2 linked regions of the Cricetulus griseus genome follow. The protein of the gene in region 2 interacts with the protein of the main gene of each other region in a biochemical or structural test. Links are inferred from orthologs where the notes say so. Each region holds a gene or a part of one and is shown on either strand. Other genes may lie near its edges.

The links.
Region 1: the proteins of Ddx39a (region 2) and Sarnp form a complex in vitro, tested with the Homo sapiens proteins (2 studies listed by BioGRID). The link is inferred for Cricetulus griseus from reciprocal best matches to the Homo sapiens genes DDX39A and SARNP.

What each region holds. Positions count from the first base shown.
Region 1 is NW_023276806.1:129,079,960-129,086,297, reverse strand, and holds part of Sarnp (SAP domain-containing ribonucleoprotein), read left to right. Parts: intron 1-329; exon of another isoform or gene 330-377; intron 378-962; coding exon 963-1,062; intron 1,063-1,145; coding exon of another isoform or gene 1,146-1,287; intron 1,288-6,122; coding exon 6,123-6,169; intron 6,170-6,338. UniProt on the Homo sapiens protein: Binds both single-stranded and double-stranded DNA with higher affinity for the single-stranded form. Specifically binds to scaffold/matrix attachment region DNA. Also binds single-stranded RNA. Enhances RNA unwinding activity of DDX39A.
Region 2 is NC_048596.1:160,699,682-160,706,684, forward strand, and holds the start of Ddx39a (ATP-dependent RNA helicase DDX39A), read right to left. Parts: upstream 3,787-7,003; 5' UTR 3,630-3,786; intron 1-3,629. UniProt on the Homo sapiens protein: Helicase that plays an essential role in mRNA export and is involved in multiple steps in RNA metabolism including alternative splicing. Regulates nuclear mRNA export to the cytoplasm through association with ECD.

The DNA.
Region 1 (6,338 bases), on a different chromosome or scaffold from region 2:
TACCAACTTTGGAGACCAAAAGTTCAATAATAGTGTTGTCCTGGTAACAGGCTCATAGTAAATTACATAATGGTGGCAGCAATTTTGAGGCTCCATTACATGGCAGGATCGAAGGCCAGAGGTTAGGGAGAGTTCAGGACAGGGTCTCATGTAATGAGTCCAAGCTGACCTGTGTTGGTGTTGAACTCCTGGTCTTCCTGCCTCCACTTCCCAAGTGCTGGATTACAGGCCCAAACCTGGCCACTCTTACTCTTTTCTATGGACCTGCTGTTTGGAGAAGTAACCAAAAGAACTATATTAATTCTTTCCTAGAATGAAGTGTCTCCTTTGATGTCCTAAACACTTCCCAGTAAGCTCCACATTTTGTGGGGGTAGAGGTGGGTGTTTTTGCTGGCCTTGAATTCTTGATCCTCCTGCTACTAGGTCAGGCTGCTCTACCTTTTGTTGTTGTTGTTTTGGTTTTTCAAGACAGGGTTTCTCAGTGTAGCTTTGTAGAGCAGGCTGGCCTTGAACTCACAGAGATCTGTCTGCCTCTGCCTCCCGAGTGCTGGGATTAAAGGCGAGTGCCTTTTAGTAGTCCCAGCACAACTACACTGAGAACCAGGCTTCTGACACAGAAACTGCTGGAAAGACACACTGTTACCATACCAGCCATAGCTGGTTGGGAGGGAGGACACTAGATTTTCTGATTGAAGATTGACCCCCCCATGTTGTTGGCAGAGTAATCTTTTGATTACAATTTTACTTAAGTGTGATTTTTTTTTTTCATTGTATGTTAGAAAGTCCTATTGTATATTGAATGTTAAAGGAAAACTAAGCTACCTTTGTAGATTCAGTGTCTTGGTCAGGGATAGTACTTGCAAGTTGGGAATTGACCATCATCATCATTTTCTCTTGTGGGAACCACCTCTTTTCATTCATAGGAATTTAAAAAGTTGTTTGTTTGTTTGTTCTTTTCCCAGCTTGCTGAACTAAAGCAAGAATGCCTTGCTCGTGGTTTAGAGACCAAGGGAATAAAACAGGATCTTATCAATAGGCTCCAGGCATATCTTGAAGAACATGGTGAGTACTTTGTGGGGGGACATGATGTGAGTGAAGCAATAAGTTTCAAGCTCTGACACTTAAAAGATTTCTTCCTTTCTTAGGTCATTGGTGATGTAAGGTCTAAATTAACAACATCAAGAAAACTTTTAGAGATGGCCATGGTGGCTCATGCCTCTAATCCTTGCACTTGGGAGGCAGAGGCAGGAGGATCGCCTCAAGTTCAAGGCCAATCTGATTTACAAAGTAAGAGTCTATCTCAAAAAAAAAAAAAATTAACAAAAAGTACTATTGGCTGAGCTGGATGTGGTAGTACATGTCTGTAATTCAGTACCCCATAGGCAGAGGCCTGAGAATCAGGAGTTTGAGGCCAGCCCAGGCTACAGAGTGAGACTCTGTCTCAACAAAACAAAACAAAAATATGTGTGTGTATTAAAATATTTTTGTTTTACCCTAAAGAGATAGGATCTTGTCTTGTTTCCTCTTGGCTGTGATTATTTTACCATGTTATTTAAAAATCAGCATGGAGGGGGCAGGAGAGATGGCTCAGTGGTTTAGAATATTTGTTGCTCTTGCAGAGGACTTGGATTCATTTCTAATCACTTACATTGTGGCTTACAACGATCTGTAACTCCAGTTCTAGGGGATCTGATGCCCTCTTCTGGTATACATGATGTATATACATAACATGCAGGAAAATACTCATATGTATAAAAAATAAAATAAGCAATATTTAAAAAATTAGCCAGTCCTGTAATCCCAGCTGCTTGAGAGGTTGAAGTAAGAGAATTAAGTTTGAAGCCCAATTGAGCAACTTGGTGAGGCTATACCTTAAAAAATAAATAAATAAATATATATGTATATATATATGTATGTATATATATATATTCATATGTGCATATATACATACATACATACATACATATGATGCTATCACTAGTTTAAGAGTTTGAAGGTGTTGGGCGCTGGTGGCACATGCCTTTTATCCCAGCACTTGGAAGGCACAGGCAGGTAGATCTCAGTGAGTTTGAGGCCGGCCTGGTCTACAAAGTGAGTTCCAGGATGTCCAGGACTGTTGCACAGAGAAACCTTGTCTTGAAAACCACCTCCGCCAAAACAAACAAACAAAGAAATAAATAAATAAATTTGAAGGCCTTAATTTTAGTCTATCTTGTGCAGAAGTTCACTAAATATGTTTGGACAGTCGCTGTTTACATAGCTTTCACAGTATCAAAAACAAGTGCCTGGACCCTTGAAATCCTTAACCTATGTAATCTCTGGCTCTTCCTAGACCTTATATCCCCCAATTCTATCTTGAAAATATAAAAAAGCACCCCTCTCACATAAGGTGCTTATTATCATCCCAGTTTGTACACATCTTTCTAAATTTTATTTATTCTCTTTTATTCCCATTCCTCATTTCACTTCCTTTCAATACTCTTAGACATCATTCTTACGTATCTGATATTCAAGCTACATTAAGGGGCTGGAGAGATGGCTCAGTGGATAAGAGTATTTGCTGTGCATGCATGAGGACCTGGCTTTCTGCCACCAGACTAGCTCCAGGTTCAATGAGATATCCCATCTCAAAGGAATAAGGTGGAGAGCAATCAAGCAGAACACCTTATGGCCTCCCCGTGTGCACATGTATACATACACCACACACATACTCATACAAAGAATCAACATATAAAATAAGATAGGTTGCTTAGTACAGTGTTAGTTTCTATCATTGGTAATGAGTTCATAGCCTTACGTTGTCTCACTTTTTTCTCTATTATTTTTTTAAGTTGTATCTAGTGGGTAAGGGTCTTGCTGCATAAGCATGTGGGCCTGAGTTAGTACCCATACAGGCTTCTAACCTCAGTCCTGGGGAGTAGCAGTGGGCAGATCCTGGAGCTTTATGACTGGAGAGCTCCAGGTTCAGTGAGAGACCCTGTCTCAAGGGTATGAAATAGACCATGTTAGAACAGGATGCTTAACCTTTTCTGGACTCCACACATACATAGGTGTACTCCCGTGCATATATACTCACACACATGCACAGAAACAAACTAAAACTTGTATCTGTGGCATGAGGTTTTGTGGTTATGTGGTTTATTCATTCCTAGAGTTGCATTCTGTGATATATAGGCACCACATTTAAAATTTTTTTTATTATATTTATGTGTATGTGTTTGTATATATGTACATATGCCATGGTGCACATCTCAAAGTCACATGACAACTTGCAGAGTCAGTTCTCTTCTTCTATCATGTGGTTCTTCTATCATGTGACTTCATGTTACCACACTTGGTAGCAAACATCTGAGCCATCTCACTAGCCAAGTCACCACGGTTTTTTGTTCCATTCCTTGATAGTAGTCACCTATATTTCCTCTAAGCCCTAGGGGATTTAATGACATTAGTATGTAATCATACATAGTACTATACATTATCTATTACTATATTGTTAGGATGTAATATTCTCTCTCTCTCTCTCTGTCTCTTTTTTTTTTTTTTTTTTTTTTTTCGAGACAGGGTTTCTCTGTGGCTTTGAAGGTTGTCCTGAACTAGCTCTTGTAGACCAGGTTGGTCTGGAACTCACAGAGATCTACCTGCCTCTGCCTCCCGAGTGCAGGGATTAAAGGCATGTACCACCAAAGCCCTGCTCTAGGATGTAATATTCTCTTATGAACTACTTTTCTCTATGTGCCTGTGAGATTATGTAGTCTCTATCCAGGTTAGGATTGTAATAATATATATATATATCCACAAATGTATAAATATTTAATATGATTTAGCACTGCCAGGTTGCTTCCTAAAATTGCTTTATAAATCTATATTCTTCATTAGGATATCAGGGTTCTTTTAACTTTTTTTGATTTTGTTTTGTTTTCTTGAGACAGAGTTTCTCTGTGTAACAGCCCTAGATGTGCTGGAACTAGCTCTGTAGATCAGGCTGGCTTTGACCTCACAGAGATCCTGAACTAGCTCTTGTAGACCAGGTTGGTCTGGAACTCCCAGAGATCTACCTGCCTCTGCCTCCCAAGTTCTGGGACTAAAGGTGTTGGCCACTACACCTGGCCAGTGTTCTTTTCTACTCTCTCTTTCTCTTTTTTTTTTTCCCATTTTTTTCAAGACAGGGTTTTTCTGTATAGCTTTGGTGGTGTTCTTTTCTTTAAAATATAAAAATATTTATTTTAAAAGGATTTCATTTGGGTCTAGAGAATTGGCTCACTGGTTAAGAGTGCTAGCTACTCTTGTAAGGACCCAAGTTCAATTCTCAGCACCCATATGACTGTTCACAACCATTTAGAACTCCAGTCCTGAGGGATGATGCCTCTTTTGGCCCCCGAGGGCACTATACACATGTACACAAACATACATGCTGGTAAAACACCCATATGCTTCAAAAAAAATTAAGTGAATTAAAAGAAAAGATATTTTTATTTCATTTGTAGGGGTGTGTGCCCGTATATATTAATGTACCGTGTATGTGCCTAGTGTCTGAGGAGGCCAGAAGAAGGAGAACTGGAGTTAAAATAAAGATGGATGGTTTGTGAGTGGTCATATGAGTGCTGGAAACCAAACCTTAACCACTAAGCCGTCTCTTCAGCCCACTCAGGGTTCTTTTATTTACACAAACCTGTATTTGGCATTATCCTATCAAGTGGCCTAGTTTTGCTAATTTGTTGGTCTTAATATACTTTTCTCCATGAGGAAAGTTTAAATGTCTCTCTTAAACTTTCTTTGTTCCTGATTCTGTGGGTTTGTTTTTGCCCACAAGTGCTAGAATTGCAGGCATGGGGCTACCTTGTTGGTTTTAAACACAAATATCTCTGTCATTGGTCTTTTATGTTTTTTCCCCTTGGTGTTCTTTAGTAGAAGTACGTAGTTTTGAAAATAATTTTTTCACCACCTGTGTGTGTGTGTGTGTGTGTGTGAGAGTGTGAGAGAGAGAGAGAGAGAGAGAGAGAGAGAGAGAGAGAGAGAGAAAGAGAGAGAGAGAGAGAGAGACAGACAGACAGACAGACAGACAGACACAGACACACAGAGAGAGAATGTACATGGAGAGAGAATGTACATGTGTTTGGGTGTCTGAGGAGGCCAGTAGAAGGTGTCAAATTCCTTGGTGCTGAGGTTACAGGTAGTGGAGTTGCTTGTTGGTCACTAGTGGCTGAGGCATCTTTCTAGTCTTCCACCATTTTCAAAGGTATTTTCTTGGTTATTCTGTAACACATTTTTTCTTTTTCTCTCTTGCTCTCTCTGCTTCTCACTCACTAGAGATCAACCCTGAGTATTGCTCTTAGGAGCCGTCCACCTCGTCATTTTACTCAGGCTCTGTCACTAGAATCTAGTTCTGCTTGGCTCCCCAGGTCTGGGGTTACAATGGTCCTCCAGCACCATACTTGAATTTTTATGTGGGTTCTGGGAATTGAACTGTGTTATCTTTACACATGCATGCACGCACGCACCTTTTTTGCTGCGTTTTTGAGACAAGATGTTATATAGCCCAAGCTGGCCTCTGTAGCTTCAAATGGTTTTGAGTTTACTGATTGTGTTGCCTCTATCTTCCCAAATGCTCTTCCAAATGCTGGGATTACAGGGCATGCACCACCATACCCTGTCCTAATTAGTTTTTTTTTTTTTTTTTTAAGATTTTATTTATTATTGTATACAGTCTATACAGTCTTCTGCCTGCAGGCCAGCAGAGGGCACCAGATCTCATTCAAGGTGGTTGTGAGCCACCATGTGGTTGCTGGGAATTGAACTCAGGACCTCTAGAAGAACAGTCAGTGCTCTTAACCGCTGAGCCATCTCTCCAACCCCCCTAATTAGTTTTTAAATTAATTTTATAGTGAGACTTAAGTACAGCCTAATTGCATTTATTCAGTTCAGATGGAATTCAGTTTTATACTAACATTTAATAGAGATCTGGTTTTATCTTCTCTAAATGTGACTTACTTTGTAAGGAATGGTTCTGCCATTATTGTTGAATATAATTTTGGGAAAGTAAAGAGGTTGTAATTTTACTCTTATCACAGTGATCAAGATGGTTTTATAGCAGGGTTTGACCTGAATATTTTAATGTTCTGTAGCTGAAGAGGAAGCAAATGAAGAAGATGTACTGGGAGATGAAACTGAGGTGAGTTGGGAAAGGTTAGTCAGTGGCTTGATAATGTGTCATTGCTTTGGCTAGATTGTTTATTGTCAGTCCTTTGACTTTTTAAGTGCTTAAAAGAAATCAAAGACTGGTTCATTTTGGAGTTCTTAGGTTGTCTCTTGATGGATATTCTTTTACTTTCCTGATAAAA
Region 2 (7,003 bases):
TAAGATTCACCAAAGTAAACAATTCAGGAGCCAACCAACATGGTGGCATCAGCACATTCAACCTTCTGGATGAGCTGGAGATGGCTCCACGGTTAAGAGCACATGTTCTTTCAGAGGATCAGGATTGGATTCCTGGTGCCCACATGGTGGTTCACAACCACCCATAACTCCAGTTCCAGGAGACCCAATGTCCTCTTCTGGCCTCCACAGGCATAAAGCATATCAGGCAAAGCATTCACAAAAAATACTTTAAAAAAAGAAAAAAAGGAGTCTCTGTGCCTGGGGGTGTGGCTCAGAGATAGATGCCCAGCATGTGAGACCCTGGATTTCATCCACCAGACCACAAAGTGAAACTACCTTTGTACCCTTTAGCCATCACTGAACTCCCAGAACCATCAATCTGCTTCTCTCTCTGCAGACTAGCCTTTTCTGAGCATTTTCTATAATAGCATCATGAGGCCTTACTTTTCCATTCTTTCACTCTGCACCGTTCTCAACGCTCATCCACAGTACAACACGAATCAGCACTTCATTCCTTTTTTTGTCCCCTTTGTCTTTTTTTTGGGGGGGGGGTGGACACAGGGTTTCTCTGTGGCTTTGGAGGCTGTTGTCGTGGAACTAGCTCTTGTAGACCAGGCTGGTCTCGAACTCAGAGATCCTCCTGTCTCTGCCTTCCCCTTGGTCTTTAATGAGACATTTTTTTCCTTTTTATGGCCACACAATCTTCCTGCCTGTAAGCATATCGCATGGGGCCGTTTGGGTAACATCTGTCTGGATTACAGCCTCTCAGTGTCCACTGATCCCTATCCAGTACACAGCTCCCACAGAAGGCACGCACTCCATCTAAATCAAATCTGGCTCTCATCACTGTGCTGTTTAAAACAGGCTGAGGTTGGGCCTGCAGAAATGGCTCAGGAGTTGTTGCTTTTGTAAAGAACACAAGTTTGGTTCCTAGTACCTATCCACAACTATAATAGTTCCTGGGATCTAAGCCTTTTGGCCTCTTTGGGCACCAGGCAACTCAAGTGGTGTACGGCACACACATGCAGGCAAGAGTCACACGTAAATTTTTGAGTTGGATTTTCTCTGTGTAGCTGATTGTCCTGGAACTTGCTCTATAGCACTTGGGGGGAGGAGGGTCTCAGAGTGAATATAATAATACACCATTTGCCATCACCACAGCCAAATAAAATATTTCCAAAATGTCAGGTGGTGGCAAACATCCTTAATAACAGCATTCAGGACAGATGCAAGCAGACCTGAAGAGTTTCGGGTCAGCCTGGTCTACACAGCCAAGGCCTACATAGTGAGACGTTATCTCCCTATCTCAACAACCCCCCACCCCCCACACACACCTTACCACATGCATGGGTCATGATCTCCCCTCTCCAGCACCATTTAGTTGGGTGCTTATTCTCCAAAAGTGTACTTCTGTTAGCATCAATTTAAAAGAATCCTTCTTAGCTGGGTGTGGTGGCACACACCTTTGAGCCCAGCACTCGGAAGGCAGAGGCGGGCAAATCTGAGTTCAAGGTCAGCCTGGTCCACAAATTGAATTCCATGCCAAGGCTACACAGAGAAATTCTGTCTTGAAAAATAAGCAAACAAAAACACTCATCTCGCCAACCTGATCTCATATGTAGAAGAGGACCTGGCAGTCAGCAGCAGTGGTGGTAAATGACTGGAACTACAACTAGGGCCTTAAGGCGGCAAACTTACACCAGTCCACTGCAGCAGCAAAGGGACAGGTTCATTTGCCAGTCAAGAAAGGTTACTACTCAGTAGGAAAGGGCAGGATTCCCCAGAATCCACATAGAAGTGACAAATTGTCCCTCTGATATAGACAAATACACCACATACACAAAAAGTGTGTGTGTGAGGGGGGGGAGAACATGGATGGCACACACCTTTAATCCCAGCACTCTGGAGGCAGAGACAGATCTCTGAGTTCCAGAACAGCCTGGTCTACAAGAGCTAGTTGGAGGACAGCCTCCAAAGCCACAGAGAAACCCTGTCGCAAACAGCACCCCCTCCAAAAAAAGAATTTGCTCAAGATGGAGTGGAGCATAAGGCCAACAGCTGGGAAAAACAGGCATGGAAAGAGAATTATCCAGGGGCAATAAGGAGGACACCAAATAGGTCAGAGCCATCCCCGGGTAGAGTAGAACCAGACATCTCTGGCTCAAACATGTGAATGGCCAAGATGGTGTATCTATTTTTATTTGAGAAAGGGATTTATGCAGGACCTAGGCCAGCCTTGAATTCCCGATCCTCCTATCTCAACCCCGCCCCCCCCCCCAAATGCCCAGTCTATACTAAAATGAACTTTAAAATTGCCTGGGCAATTTTTCCAGTGACCTCCAGGCCAGCCAAGGCTACATAGAGATCTTATTTCAGCAATAAAAAAAAAAAAAAAAAAAAAACCTTGGGCATTCAGGACAAGAGAGGTGTGGCAGACCGGTTAAAACGCTTGATGCTTTCGGGCGATTTTTCAGTTCACAACCACCTTCTAACTCCAAGTAGAGGTTCGAGTCCCTCTTCCGGCCTCCAAGAGCACCTGCACACAGTCATTCACACACCCACGTGAATAAAAAATTCAAGGACAGCCTCAACTTCATGAGAACCTTATGGCCCCCTCATACATATGTACTGTTTTGAGGCAGTATAGATCTAAAAACGTTTCTTGTCCTAGTTAAGGGATAAAGGTGAAGCCGAGCGTAGTGGTGCACGCCTTTAATCCCAGCGCTCCGGAGGCAGACACAAGTGGATTTCACTGAGTTCATAGTGAATTCCAGTGTACAAAGATCCTGTCTCAAAACACGAGATGGGGCTGAGCGTTGGTGGTGCATGCCTTTAATCCCAGCACTCGGGAGGCAGAGGCAGGCGAATCTCTGAGTTCGAGGCCAGTCTGGTCTCCAGAGCGAGTTCCAGGACAGCCTCCAAAGCTACACAGAGAAACCCTGTCTAGAAAACACAAAAAACAAACAAAAAACAACAGCAACAAAAAAAGATGGGATACACCAAATGTTTCAGGAACGAGTTGGGGTGCTACTCGGAGCGGATACCCACAAATTCGTCAGGCCTGGGTTCCATCAGGTACAGAAAATGAAACAAGTGAACCCAGGAAGTGGCTATCCCAGACCTAAAGTTTCAATCAGGGCCAGAGAAGATGAGATGCAACCGGGCTGAGCCGCCTCACACCGGGAAGGCGACACCGGGTGAAAGACCCGGCTCCTGTGAGCCGCCACACCGGCCTCCCGAGTCTGGAGGAGAAACCTCCTGGGAAAGCGGCAAAGGAAGACAGGAGGCAGGTGACTGCAGACTCTGCCCACGAGGGCCCGGGTCGTCCGGCTGCGACCCGAACCCCAGCCTGAGGCCGCCCTCTGCATCAATCCCGCCACGATACACAGGCCGGCCTCCGAGGGCCGCCATAACACCGTTCCCGGAAGCCGACACACTAACGGCTGGCCCGCCCCTGGCGCATGCGCGCGGGAGCCCAACGGCCGCCAGCTCGAGGTGGGTTCCTAACCGCCCTGCCGCCTCGCGCCCACTCCTCCCGCTGCACCGCGGCGTCTTCAGCAAACCCACAGCCCCGACTTGCGGCCCCGAGCTCGGGACCCACCACTTACCTGTCGCCCGGTTCGCCTCCGCGAGCTGCGAGGAGAGCCGTCCGTCTGGTTGTACGTCGCGCCCCTGGACGCGAGCGGCAACGCTTCCTGTCTGCGGCCCGACTCGGGTCTTGCTCACTGGGCCGTTGACTTATCACTCAACTGAGGAAAAAGTGATGATTGGTTTATAAGGACGCTGTCGGCCGGCTATTGGTGAAAGGGGTGAAAGAGGGCGTGCCTGCAGCCTCAGGTTCATTGGGTAATCAGGAGTGGGCGTGTCCTATGGGGCTGAGCTAAGCTGCGGCCCCGCCCTGGCCCGTCACGTGAGGTGAGTGTAGGGCTAAAAGGATGCTGCCATATTTAGTACTGGCAACCGCCTGTTAATTGCCCATGCTTGTGCCCCACCCTTTTAAAGTGTAGTTTCCTGCTGTCATAGAATTTTTGACTCTTGTCTGGTGGGTCGGTTGGTTGCTTTTTTTCCAGACAGGGTTTCTCTGTGTAGCCCTAACTGCCATTGAGCTGGTTCTGTAGATCAGGCTGGCATAGATCCACCTGCCTCTGCCTCATGATTGTTGGGATTAAAGGTGTGTTGCCGTCACCACTTGACCCAATTTGTTTGTTTTTTGGTTTTGATTTTTTTCTTTTCTTTTCCTTTTTTCTTTTTTGGGGGGATTTGAGACAGGCAAGGCATGTGCCACCACTACTTAGCTCATTTTTTATTTATTATTATTATTATTATTATTATTATTTGGTTTTTCGAGACAGGGTTTTTCTGTGTAGCTTTGGAGCCTATCCTGGCACTCGCTCTGGAGACCAGGCTGGCCTCGATCTCACAAAGATCCGCCTGCGTCTTCCTACTGAGTGCTGGGATTAAAGGCATGCGCCACCAACGCCCAGCTCTTTTTTTTAACCCTTAAAAAGAAATTAAAAAGCCGGGTGTTGGTGGTGCACGCCTTTAATCCCAGCACTGGGGAGGCCGAGGCAGGTGGATCTCTGTGAGTTCGAGGCCAGTCTGGGCTACAGAGCGAGTTCCAGGACAGCCTCCAAAGCAACACAGAGAAACCCTGTCTCGAAAAACAAAACAACACAAAAAAAGTTAAAAAAAAAAAAAACAAAAACACAAAACTCTTTTACTCCTACGTTGTATACACTGGACTCAGTTGGTCTCCTGCCTCAGGTTCCCTAGTAAAAGATCACTACTCCAAAAAAAAAAAAAAAAAAAGCATTGGCCATAACCTTAGTTTATAGCTCCAGAAAGCCAGCTATTTGGGGATTACAGATGATACAAAAGAGACAACAGACCCTGCGTTCTGAAAAGGTAAACTTCTCCATTCTGCCCTTTGTTCTTCTCCCTTCCCCATCCTTAGCTACAAAAACCCGGTCTTGAAGCATGTTATCTGCATTGTCTGGAACTCTGGTCACTGTGTTGCTGGGTGCTACAACCTGATCATGGTGCAGTCAAATACTGAGAGAAAATAACCAGATAAAATAAAGCCTACTCCAGCTGCTAATATCCTCTAAACTCCCCTTTATTTCTTTTTTTTTCAAACATAATTCTTGTATCTAGTAGCTGGGATCACAGGACCTACCTTGACAGTAAGTAATAAACAAAACTTGTTTGGTTGTTTTTTGTCAAGACAGGGTTTCTTTGTGTAGCCTTGTCTGTCCTGGAACTCACTCTTTCGACCAGGCCGGGCTCAAAAATCACAGAGATCTGCCTGCCTCTGCCTCCTAAGAGCTGGGATTAAAGGCGTGTACCACCACTGCCAGGCTGCTAGGGAGGTTCTTAGAATTTTCTCTGTATTTGGTGGTTTGAGGATGGAACCAAAACTTAACATGCTGGGCAAACCTCTGCCGCTGAGCTACAGCCAGTCTCATTGTTTTAATCTGGTCTTGGGATTTGCTTTTTAGATTAATTTTTAAAATATTATTTGTATGATCCTTTTGCCAAGATATATTATGTGTACCACATGTGTGCCTGGTGCCACTCAAGGTCAGAAGATGGCTTTGGATCTCCCTCGAACTGGAGTTACAGACTACTATGAACTGTCATATGGGTGCTGGGAACCAAACCAAATAAACCAAATAATTTATTGTTTATTATTGTTGTTGTTATTAGGTTTTTTAAAGACAGGGCTTCTGTGTGGAGCCCTAGCTGTCCTGGAACTTGCTCTATAGACCAAGCTGACCTCAAACTCAGAGATCCACCTGCCTCTGCCTTCAAAGCACTAGGATTAAAAGCATGTACAACCAGCTGGGCGTTGGTGGCGCACACCTTTAATCCCAGCACTCGGGAGGCAGAGGCAGGCGGCTCTCTGTGAGTTTGGTCTACAAGAGCTAGTTCCAGGACAGCCTCCAAAGCCACAGAGAAACCCTGTCTCGCAAAAAAAAAAAAAAATGTGCACCATCACGTCCACCTGACTCTGGTTTTGATTGTTTGAGCTAGGGTTCATGTAGCCCAGGCTGGTCTGAAAACCTTTAATTCTCTGAAAACTACACAAAGGTAGAAAAAGGAGAGAATAGATCCCTGATAGTCATCACCTGACTTCTACAGGTGTGCTGTAGAATAGGTGTATACACACACACACACACACACACACACACACACACACACACACACAGACACCTCCAAATAGGAAATGGATCAGTGAAATATTTTGTTCTCAAGGACACATTCATGATAGCTGTCTGTGTTGTGGCTCATGCCTGTGATACCAGCATTTGGCAAGCTGAGGAAAAAGGAGTTTAAATTCCATATTAGCCTGGACTATATAGTGAGATCCTGTCTCCTAAAGTGCAGTTGGTTTGAACAAATTAATAATTAACTCAGAGTTACCAATGATGCATCTATATCACATTTAGGAAAGAAATCAAAGCACCTCCCCTTGGTGTCATTAAATCAAGGGCAAGCCCTGATTTGAATTTTCTACATTGCTCTCCCTGTCTGTCTGTTGTTTGGGCCTGAATCTGTACCTACCTTAAGGCTGTCCTCTGAATCTGTTCTCGTATATGTCCATAACAAAGAGCTTTGCTCTGTCTTTTTTCAACAGCACAGGGAGTATCCCATGGGGGAAGGAATGAGGGATAGTTTATAGAAATCATTAACAGAGGTTTACAAGGGAATAAGTCGGCAAATCCAACTGACCCAGGTGACAAAAAGTATTACAAATATTATCAAGCAATATCCATATATTGATTTTAACATTCATGGCAAATATTACTGTATTTGTTGTTTCCAGCAAATGATTATCATAACCAATATATAAATACGCATGCACTATCTGTGGGTCAGGGGCATAGACCAGTATGTAATTTGGGATTTCAGCTGTACATTAGCTTAGGTTGTAAAAACTGAATCCAAGTGAGGCTGAACTTACATTTTTCTCTTAAAGGCA